3 linked regions of the Daphnia pulex genome follow. The protein of the gene in region 3 purifies or fractionates together with the protein of the main gene of each other region. This does not show direct contact. Links are inferred from orthologs where the notes say so. Each region holds a gene or a part of one and is shown on either strand. Other genes may lie near its edges. The genes, in order: ribonuclease P protein subunit p40-like, ribonucleases P/MRP protein subunit POP1-like and ribonuclease P protein subunit p30-like.

Region 1 (3,358 bases), on a different chromosome or scaffold from region 3:
TCCATTTCTTTCCATGAAATAAAGACGTTCTTGTGCCAACACAATCGATATTTGGAATTCCTGTGAAACCTCCAATGCTGTGAGTTTATCCCTAGCCTGTAACTAAAAAAATTTGAATATGTTAGGATTGCATTAAAGAAAAAGTAATGAATTTCAATAGAAGTATCAATTTGGCTGTGGGTTTAATAACTGTTATATTCATGTGCAACAGCCAGGACCTAGATCAGAAACAGCAATTGAGTTGAAAGTGTCGACCTCAGAATAATGAGAATATGAAATCATTAAAAATACATATCAACACGATACTGGCTATTCAATCAGGAGATCAGCCCATTAATGAGCTCTTAAAATTGATCGCAGGGCGCAGAAAAGAAGAAGGACACCCTTTGACAACACACTTGTGATAAAACCAACTTTGAAATTTTAGGGGATGCCCTGTACAAAACATTTAATTAATATGACTTCCACTACTTCAATAGTGGAAAACTTACATTCTACGGATTACCTGAATGATGTAGTATTTTTCCATATTTTTCTTTGGTCGAAGTTGTAATCCAGGTAAGAGAAAAAGCACTTTGAAAAAATACTCCCATAAGAGCCCATGTAAAAAAAGGGTGTGGTTTTATTAAGATGGCGGATTGCAACATTGTCGGACTACAAGAATCCTGCTATCCGCACGGTGCAAGAGGTCTATCAATTCTGAATATTCTGATTTCTGAATTATTAAAAGTCTGGGTAAGTAATTATTGAGTAATCTCTATGGAAAATAAGATTAATGGGTTAAATACTTATAAAAAGGAAGAGATTTTTGTGGGAGCTCGGAGGGTGTTTAAAGGAAAAGCAAGCTTAGCGGGTACAGTATTTTCTTTTTGTAGACCTTTTCCAGATGATTCTGATTAATGCAATTATCGTAATGCAGCAAATTGATCACTAAATTGAATGCTTACATAGTGGTCGTTATTCATTATGCTACAAATATTCGGTTAATCTATTGTATCGTACAAAATCTTCCAGAGTTCCAGACTTCATTAGAAAATCATTAGAAAATTATGAATTTTCCACGTAACTTCTTCTTTGGCCCTCTTTATTCATTGCCTAGGTATTTTATATCATTATTATAATATAGTCGACTTAGATAGTTTAAATAAACCGCGTAATGATAGTGACGCCATCTATAAGCTTTGAGATAAACTATCGATAACTAAAAACGTTTTCGCTAGATGGAGTAGGAACTGACTAAAATAGTAAACAAAACAATTACAAACCACACCGGATCGAAAACTTCTTCTTTTTTCGTTGGAATTAACTTTCAAATACTTCCTGAAATGTACAATCCAGAGGTAATAAATTTTCCTCCACCAAAATCCTTGAAACAAACATGCACATGGAAGAAAGACCAAATACTTAATAAAGTGCCTTCCCAAGACCTAGGAAATCATTTTCATGGGGTAAGAGTGAAACTTCAATAACTTTTTACATTATTCTAATAGAGGAGTATTCTTGTTACAGATTACTGCAATCTTGTCTGGGGAAATTACTGAAATAGCTGAAATTCAAGACTTCTTTTTAGACTCAACATTTTACAGAGTTAACAAATTCCCCGTTCATAAGTTGCTGGACCCTGATTTTCTCTCTGCATTTGTTAAAAAAGGACATTTTGATGCCAGAACTTTAGGAACATGGGGTGAAGTTGATCAGAGTATTGTTGTTGAATCAGGCAAACTTCATCTTTCTGTCTGCAAAGATGTGTATCAAGAGCTAGGGTTAAGTGGCCAAGCAGAGGTAATTTCATCCAAAAAGTGTCCTGCTAAATACGGTAACTTAATTATTCACTGTAAATTTTTTCAGTTTGTTAACATTGTATTTGGTTTTCGTAGACATTTCTGTTAATCTTCTTGATGATAAGTTTTCCCCTGATTCTAAATACTACAAAAGAGTTAGTTGGTGTTTACAAAATCAGACAAGTCTACAATTTGATTGGATCATGAATTGGCATCCACACGGTAAGGCTTTTCTTAATAGTGGAAATTGTATCAAGCGTTGACTAATAATAATGTTTTTACCACAGATTCTGACATCTGCCCATCTTCCCTTGCTGCTTACCTCGACTTGCTTGGCTTTCAGGTAGTTCAGTGTCTGCCATCCTTTGAAGAAAGAATTTTAAATCAAGTAAAGGTTCCACTGCTATGCACTGAAACAGACATTTCAGATGTTGTTGAATGGGTTGGAGCTGCTGCATTGAATATCACATGGTAACTAGATATGCTTTTAGAGTAAACTGAGATATTACATTCTTTGTTTTATTTATCTAAGTCCTGACCAAGAAGATTACACTTCTTCAATGACATGCCCAGAGCCCAGTTATAAATCTGAAAAGGTTCACATCTTGAAATGGAAAGGATTTTTTTCTGCAAGACAGGCAAAAGAGTTACTCGGCGTGATTTTGAAATTGCGACCAGAAGCAACAGAAAACTCTGTTCAATCATGGCTTAATCTCACTCTCATTGGATTTGATGAATTCCAAATAGGTGTGTTTTATTGGCAATCATGTTAATTTCACATATTAATTTATTTTTAATTTTCAGCATCAAGTATTTGCTCGGTTTTTACAACGGCATCGGACAACTGCCAAGTCTTTACAAACCAGACATCTAGAAGGAAAATCAAATGAATTCAATTCGACTTTTGTTATTTCATCTTCTGTAAAAACACATCTGAATAAATTAAGTCAGATACTGGATCGATTAAAACAAAAAATTAATCTTTTATATCTGTACCTCATAGTTGCTTACACATGCAACTGCACTCCGGTATCACTCGAGTTTTGCCATTACAAAAAGGAGGGAAAGAAATGTAATAGCCATGTCCTCAAACAGCCTAAAATTCTGTGTCGCAAAACAATTTTTTCATAGCATTACTTAATGATTAGAACTTAAAATTGCGTATTGTTTATGTTTAAGGACTGAATACGTTTTTAAAAGAAATCAAGCTTTACACAGCTGCAAAAAACGCGGAAACTAGTTATTTCTACCGCAAATTTTTACAAAGAACGTTTTCACTGAACGACGACTGTGTATACTAATAATGACATACCTTTGACAAAAAGAGGGCCATGAGTCAACAGCTCAGTAGGAAATTCAATCAACAGCTGTCGGTGCACTGCTGCGAAATACCTTGAAATAAAACCACAAAAGAAAAATATTTACCACATGATTATTCGTAACAGAAGTTTCGAATCCTCTCAGACCGCACCAGTCTCGTATGGAGTTTGTTCCTTTCAAGGAGATACACCAGCTGCAACTGTGTAAAACGCAACCAAGTCAATATGTTTACGAAAAATTGAATGATTTAGTCAAAG
Region 2 (4,240 bases), on a different chromosome or scaffold from region 3:
TCGCCCTTCGTGAGATCCGTCGCTACCAAAAGTCGACCGAGCTTCTGATCCGCAAGTTGCCATTCCAGCGCTTGGTCAGAGAAATCGCCCAGGATTTCAAGACCGACTTGCGTTTCCAGAGCTCGGCCGTCATGGCTCTGCAGGAGGCCAGCGAGGCTTACTTGGTGGGTCTTTTCGAAGACACCAACTTGTGCGCCATTCACGCCAAGCGAGTCACCATCATGCCTAAAGACATCCAGCTCGCTCGCCGTATTCGTGGTGAACGTGCCTAAGCGACTTTTAAAATCCCTTTTGACTTACCAATCGGCCCTTTTCAGGGCCACCATTTACTAAAGAAGAAGATTACCAATCAACCATTGTTTTCATTACTATATTCTTGTAAATCTTTCTTACCGTCACACATTGATGTGAATGGCCTAAAATAAAGAATACTCTACTCATCACTAACCACGGTTTCTTTCTAAATGCCAGAATTTCACAAGCATAACCTTTTCGATGGTTTCAATGTGCAATGGAAAACTTCTAAATTTTGGTAAACAAGGAAAGATATTGAATCATGCCCTATTTTAGAACTGCACCCAAATAAGTAAAGCCCAAACCATGTAAACAGATTAGACTACAAATTAGTATCATGGGAAACTGAAAACTTTGAACCAACCTGGTTTGCAAACAAAATCAGGCAGTCGGTTTATCCTTGCGGTCCTCAGCACTTATCTTTCAATCCTAACACTTCATTTAAATTCACAACCACATTCCAAATCCCTAATTATTTGTTTTAATAATCAATAATCCTCCCCCCCCCAAAAAAAAAAATGAGAAACAAGAACATAGACAACAATCAAAATCTATATATGCAGACGACCTAGTAAACAAAACAAGCCACCTGTTGGCCAACAGTTGGAAAATCTTCTTTCTAGACGGTGCGACCAGCGACCTCCCAAAACTTAATATGTAGAAGCGGAACGGAATTCTCTTCCCGCTTTAACACAAATGGAAAACAAATTATGTAAGAGAGATTTAACCTTTACAACAAATTGTTTCATTTAGTACTTGATCTGAGAGTAAATGATTCAGTTCTGATTTCTCTGAGGTCAGCGGTCTGAAAAGACTCTACTTCTCAATGGATTCCGAACTCCCGTCTTCGGACGGCACATTTATTGATTCAAAAATTTCCATTACTCTTTATTGAAGCCCCGGAAGGTGATTTACTGTGTTATGTGTGATGTGAATGTGATAACTACTAAAAAAGTGAATATGAAAATGAAAACGCCGCTCTAACCCATATCGTGATCACTTCAAATAAAACAACAGAGTAAGTCAGTAGTTCTGTGGTTCTGGTAAATTGGTAATAATAGCATTTGAAAAATAGAAAAAAATTGAAGATTGAATCTGCGTAGAATTGTAATGGAAAGTTTGGCAACGAGATTACGAGATTGACCGATTACCACAGCAGACGAAAACGACAACAAGTTAGTTGACACGTGAGTTAGAGCATGTGATGTTGATGTTCAAAATTTCAAACTTTATTTGAATTAATCACCGTTGCTTACTAGAAAAGTAAAAATCACCTTTTGTAAGATGACTGACGAAAGAAACAAAATGACGCAAAATGTTCCTTCTGATTTATCAGTCGTTCGATTTTCTTCTGTTAGAGCCCAGGAAATTGTTGCTCTCACAAAAATGATAGGTGAGTTTCCCCCCTCCCCAAAAAAAGAGTTGTCCTATCAACATTTGCTAACATGTTGTTTGCCTTAAGAAAATCCACAATGCACCAAATTACTTTTTCAAAAACTGCCATGTCATATGCGAAGAAGAGCAATGAGCCATAACCCAAACAGAATGCCAAGAACCTTAAGGGAAGCCCACAAGGCCCAAGTAAGTCTGCTTATAAAAGTATAGCTCCACACTGAATAAACTCTATATTTATGTGGATTTAGATGGCAAAGAGTGGTCCAGCAACCCAGCCTAAGAGGCCTAGAAGGAAATATAGACGCAGACCAAGCAGATTGCTGGAAGAGTATAAAAAGCGATCTAGTAAAGTCTCTTGGCTAGAAACACACCTGTGGCATGCCAAAAGGTTTGTTTCCATTTGTAGGTTATGTTAAGGACATGTTACTACTTTTTACCATTTAGGTTTCACATGGTAATCAAGTGGGGACATCGTCTTCCTGAAAGATCTTGCGCTCGCAGTCACAGATTCTGCTACCGTTCAGTAGCTCAACATTGCCTGCTAATGGTATCAATTCAAAATATTAATGATTTACGTAATTATTAATTGCCTCTTTTTGTTCAAAGGACATATCGTACTTGTGTTGCGTTGAAATTCAAGGTCCACAGGATGAGATCGTTCGAGGCCTTATCTCTCTCTGTGATCCTAAAACTGGCCCAACGTTTGGTGCGTCTACTTTCCTTAATGGCACTCGTGAAGGAAGAGTGATCATTTTCAAGCGAAATCAGTTTTCGAGCGGCCCCATCGGCTTGGTTACGTTTTTGTGGTGCAATACAGGGAATCCGGATATGCGAACCTTGTGGATATGGAGCCATCCAGCTTTCTACCAACAGTTTCTGTGTGAGCTGAATTCTATTTTCGAATCCGATTCCGACTTATTATGCAAGCCTCCTGGAGTCAAGATTACCTTAAACAAAGGAAAGCTAAATCGGTTCAGATTAAGAGGGCCCTTTGCACATTCAGTTGTATCGTCGTTATTCGACAAAGAAACTAGGAGCGCGTCAAGTTTATCACAATCACCTGGGTTTGTCACCAGTGTTGAAGTCAGAGATCCTCGAATGATACTCGCACAAACCCGAATCAAAGCGTCCAGTTCCACGGTAGGTAACTGTGAACTTGTAGGATTGAGCCAAAGTAAATTGTGGGATGCCAGCGTTCGAGATCAAATTACCAATATGCGAACAAGTTTACCCGATCACGTCATCAATAACCGTCGTAGTGAATTACTTGTTCCTGGCACCGAGTTACCCGTCCAGCCAGAAGAAATCCCCATTCCAATCCTCATTGTGAATGCATCTCACGAGAGCAGCGGTAAGTAAATACATTTCTTTTATTATGTAATTTTTTTTTACCTTTTTTTTTCCTTTCAAGATTTTGTTCCTGGCTGTGACGTCATTTTGCCGGCTGGATGGGCTACAGCTTTCTGGCTTGCACTGATCTATAGTGGAGGGCACGCTGGAGGTTTGAAAGATGCGGGAAGCATGAATTTTGAATACGGAATTTGTCGGGATCTCTGCTTAGAAATCGACAGTGAAGCAGGAAAAGCCACTGCCGTTGACAGAAAAATGAATTTGATGGAAGAATACTTTCGTAGACCACCTAAAACAAGAACCAACTTCATCAAATTAGCCACACCTTTTCCGTTCTGCGTCGATTGGGATCGCCTTACAATCGACTGGATCGGTCAGTCTGAGTCAGGTTTCACTGTATTACGTGACAAGAAGCTCCTAAGTGGATTGTGTCAAAAGAATAGGATTGTGCTACCCGAAATCTTATTATCTCAACCTTATTTAGTGCCCGTGACAGTTCGAGTTAAACACGGGTCACCTCAGGAATTTTCAATGATCTGTTTACCGGGAGCCGATGATAAAGTTAATTCAGTAATTAACGAGCCTATTCACCAAGATCCCTGCGCCAAAGAACGGAAAATGTTACGCCAACAGCACAGTTCCCTTCTGAAGAGTCTTGCGAAAAAGAGGAAAGAATTCCGGGATAAAGATGGAACCATTGGGGACTTCTCCAGCGCCACTGCAATTGCTGTTCACAAAGAAAAGACTCGCTCGTTATGGCTGCCTTCTTCCTGCAATTTAAAAACTTCATTCGCCAGGCCGATCATTGGATTTGTCACTCAAGGAGATTTCGGTCTTAGCGAAGGAAAAGGAATTGGTCGTGGATATATAGTCATTCGTGCCATTTCACAAATACCTTTGTCTCTTGTGTTGGTTCGAAATCCTGGAACTAATTTGTACATGTGGGCTGAAATTACAATGGAGTAAAATACATTGACAAACTAATTGAAGTTATCACAAGTTATTTTATGTGTAATGTAGAACATCAATTCTTGGTTACAATAGTACATTACCCATAGCGAGATTGTATTGGTAATGGTATAATGGATGAAAGTGAAAGCAGAACATCAAATTATTTTATTTCTTTCCAACCATTCCTTTCTTCCCACGTTTAGGCATGACTTCCTCACTATCCGAATCGTCTTCATCGTTGCTTTCTTTC
Region 3 (2,849 bases):
CAGCATCAATGGGTCCCCGTCTCATGGGTCTACTAGACAAAAAACCAATAACAAAACGAATTCATTGCCAATTAAATTTCAAGCGATTTTTATGATTCATTGTATTCTTTCTTCCTCACTTATTTGACCGCATGCAGCCCACAGGTCCTGAACTTCTAGATCTTCCAAGAATCTGAAAACTTTTTACGTCCAACTGTTCACGTCTCCTCGTATGACAAAAGGGACAAAGTTGAGTTATTTTATACACACAAAATTTATTCATTCATTTGATTGAGTACTTTCTAAGCAGCACCGTTTTAGATTTTGTGACAGAGAACTTGACATATCCTTAATTTTGATTGTCATTCAATATAATACCTGAAGTGCTAATATGAAATTAAAGATCTTTCAAAAACGAGAAGATTATTAAGATTTAATGTTGTGTAGGTAGCTTTTAGGCTCTCTATACCTAGGGCAACATTTTGTTTGCATGAAAGTGTGAATGTCTATGACGTGCGATACATCGATCTATAATTGCAACATGTAAAGCCCTCCGCAAAAGCAGCTGTAACTTCAAATTTTCTGTTCTTATGTAGTTCAGCCATAATCTATTGATCAAAATGGAATACAAGTAAGTGCAAGATGTTGTCGAATTTCGTTTTTTGACTATTAAACTAAGCAGTTTCCATTTTCATCTTTTTGGGCTCTGGTTCTCCCGCAAGTCTTTCTTCCGCGTCAGTTATTTCCTTAGCTTTCCATTGTTCCTCTGGATCCAACTTGTCAGTTTCAGCAATAAAGCTGACACATTTTCCTGTTTTTCGAGTCACTGGAAATTCCCGAATGAAAAATGTAAAAGTGTAAAGTTAAATGCAGAAATTTATAGGGAATATATACCAGCATGAAGTGCAACGGATCGTCCACTCAAATTTAAAGCAGATCTAGCTTCTCCTTCACTTAATCCAAGAAGTAATCCTCTAAAATATGCAATGACTTATTTAGTCTCGTTAATAAGCAGTATCAACAATGTGTTCCTTACAAATTCGCTACGTCGTAAGGATTGCGAAGTTCTAATGGTGTAAGAGCTCCACTACTGATTATGACGTTCTACAGGAAGAGTTGAATATATATAGTAATAAACAACTAAGGCTCCAAAACACAAATAGTAAAATTTGGTCATTCTGAATTTGAAATAGATAAATCTCACCCGGGATTTGCCAACTGTATGGTACAAATGTGAAATCTGGATAATCTTTTTCCTATTTGACGAATCTCTAAGCATATGTGAATAGGGAATCTCAAAAAATATTCCTCTGTCAGTAGCTTGGCGATAATGTTTTCTGGTGAATCTCAGCAATTCTTTGGTTTCAGTCGGATGGTAGGTGATTATGTCTATATCCATGTTGGCTGCTGCATGCTATTAAAAAAAATAATTAAATAAAATTGATTTCAATCATAAAGATAAAAATAAAATACTAGAAAAGCAGCCGTAGTTGTTGGGCAGACAGCTATCAAATCAGATTTTTTGGTATTCCCCGATTGGATCTTTTGAGAAACACAAAATGCTTATCAGTAATTCCCAAATAAAGTGCATTTATATGGAGTACTCACAAGTTTCTGTGTATTCACAGGGTCACTGAGCATGACAGTCAACCGATGTAAGATTTTAACATTCTTCCCATGGACCTAAAGTAAGAGGTAAATTTGAATATAAAATCAAATCCATAGTTTCATTTTACAATACTTTAAATAAGTTCAACTCTTCTTCGGTGAATTTAAGTTTTAGAGGAGGTGGAACATCTTTTTTCTCTTCCTTTACTTCATTTTTCTTGTTCCCTTTTTTCTTGGTGTTGATTAAAACATCTTCTTCTATTGTTGTGTTAATAGCTATGGCACTATAACCAACTGAAAGAAAACAGAACAGGTGAAAACGACGAAATAGGGCAGGATTTTAACTAATTCATTTACGTTTGACAGCTCTCAACACGACTTCTTTAAGTGTTGTAGTAGGACTGCATGGACATGGGATATTGAAATCACAGAAACCTTGCACAGTGTTCATTGTTTTATATATTCGAAAATCTTTTGATAATTCAGTCACGTGCTTTGAAACAAAATCACAAATCACAAACGAAGCAAGCATGTGAATCAAGCAGACGAATTTCTGTCCCTCTAGCGACGCAAATTTATTTGTTTACCAACTTGACAGACACTTGTTAAAGGAAAATCACGCTTGATTTCGGTGTTTTTAAACAGTTAGAACACTAAGAAACAATATAACAATTAAAATGTGAAGTAATTAAATTGAAGTAGATTGTTCTGTTTTTGTTCAGTTGGCTGTTTTTAGTTTTCGTTGAGTGCTGGTTCCAACACCAGCACCATTGATGTCCAGAACTGCTGATGTAGACTTTGTTGAACCTACAACTGATTTGACAGAACCAGATTTGATGCTGATTCTTTCTTCAACAGCTGCTAAACTTTCATTGGAAGATTGAAATGATTTATCTGGAAGCTCCTCGTGGTGTGGTGCCTCAAAATTCATTTTAACCACTGTCTGTTTCCTCCCTTCTCTCAAAGACGATGACTGTACAGATAGAAAATGTGAATTAACAATTTGCTGATTAAAAGTGTGAGTGAAAGTGTGGAAATTACTACAGTCTCGCCAGACGCATTTGTACCCCCATCACCGTTTGAACCCGGACCGTGCGAGGTAAATTGCTTCAAAGCATTGTCCTTACACTTGAGAGTTTCTTGTAAAGATTCTCTGAAATCCAACAAATTAGAAGCTGTTATCTGTTTTCTCATATCTAATGAATTATTTTACAATTTTTTCTCTAGAACGAGTTGCTTCAAATTAGCTTTCTGTTGCACCT

What was found.
Region 1: the proteins of ribonuclease P protein subunit p30-like (region 3) and ribonuclease P protein subunit p40-like purify together in Homo sapiens (affinity purification with mass spectrometry; 3 studies listed by BioGRID and IntAct, counting the BioPlex papers as one, with this or other methods). This does not show direct contact. The link is inferred for Daphnia pulex from reciprocal best matches to the Homo sapiens genes RPP30 and RPP40.
Region 2: the proteins of ribonuclease P protein subunit p30-like (region 3) and ribonucleases P/MRP protein subunit POP1-like purify together in Homo sapiens (affinity purification with mass spectrometry; 5 studies listed by BioGRID and IntAct, counting the BioPlex papers as one, with this or other methods). This does not show direct contact. The link is inferred for Daphnia pulex from reciprocal best matches to the Homo sapiens genes RPP30 and POP1.

Annotation. Positions count from the first base shown.
Region 1 is NC_060026.1:1,155,430-1,158,787, forward strand, and holds ribonuclease P protein subunit p40-like, read left to right. Parts: upstream 1-1,224; 5' UTR 1,225-1,325; coding exon 1,326-1,448; intron 1,449-1,509; coding exon 1,510-1,816; intron 1,817-1,877; coding exon 1,878-2,003; intron 2,004-2,068; coding exon 2,069-2,252; intron 2,253-2,313; coding exon 2,314-2,528; exon of another isoform or gene 2,529-2,585; coding exon 2,586-2,671; 3' UTR 2,672-2,740; downstream 2,741-3,358. UniProt on the Homo sapiens protein: Component of ribonuclease P, a ribonucleoprotein complex that generates mature tRNA molecules by cleaving their 5'-ends. Also a component of the MRP ribonuclease complex, which cleaves pre-rRNA sequences.
Region 2 is NC_060026.1:2,974,665-2,978,904, reverse strand, and holds ribonucleases P/MRP protein subunit POP1-like, read left to right. Parts: upstream 1-1,439; 5' UTR 1,440-1,481; intron 1,482-1,553; 5' UTR 1,554-1,578; coding exon 1,579-1,687; intron 1,688-1,756; coding exon 1,757-1,875; intron 1,876-1,937; coding exon 1,938-2,077; intron 2,078-2,133; coding exon 2,134-2,236; intron 2,237-2,295; coding exon 2,296-3,040; intron 3,041-3,100; coding exon 3,101-4,005; 3' UTR 4,006-4,028; downstream 4,029-4,240. Other genes in the region: histone H3, read left to right, coding at 1-272; dnaJ homolog subfamily C member 9-like, read right to left, coding at 4,156-4,240. UniProt on the Homo sapiens protein: Component of ribonuclease P, a ribonucleoprotein complex that generates mature tRNA molecules by cleaving their 5'-ends. Also a component of the MRP ribonuclease complex, which cleaves pre-rRNA sequences.
Region 3 is NC_060018.1:996,100-998,948, forward strand, and holds ribonuclease P protein subunit p30-like, read right to left. Parts: upstream 1,621-2,849; coding exon 1,588-1,620; intron 1,522-1,587; coding exon 1,453-1,521; intron 1,394-1,452; coding exon 1,184-1,393; intron 1,084-1,183; coding exon 1,016-1,083; intron 954-1,015; coding exon 874-953; intron 806-873; coding exon 654-805; downstream 1-653. Other genes in the region: uncharacterized protein LOC124188900, read left to right, coding at 1-36; dynein regulatory complex subunit 4-like, read right to left, coding at 2,306-2,560, 2,629-2,740, 2,801-2,849. UniProt on the Homo sapiens protein: Component of ribonuclease P, a ribonucleoprotein complex that generates mature tRNA molecules by cleaving their 5'-ends. Also a component of the MRP ribonuclease complex, which cleaves pre-rRNA sequences.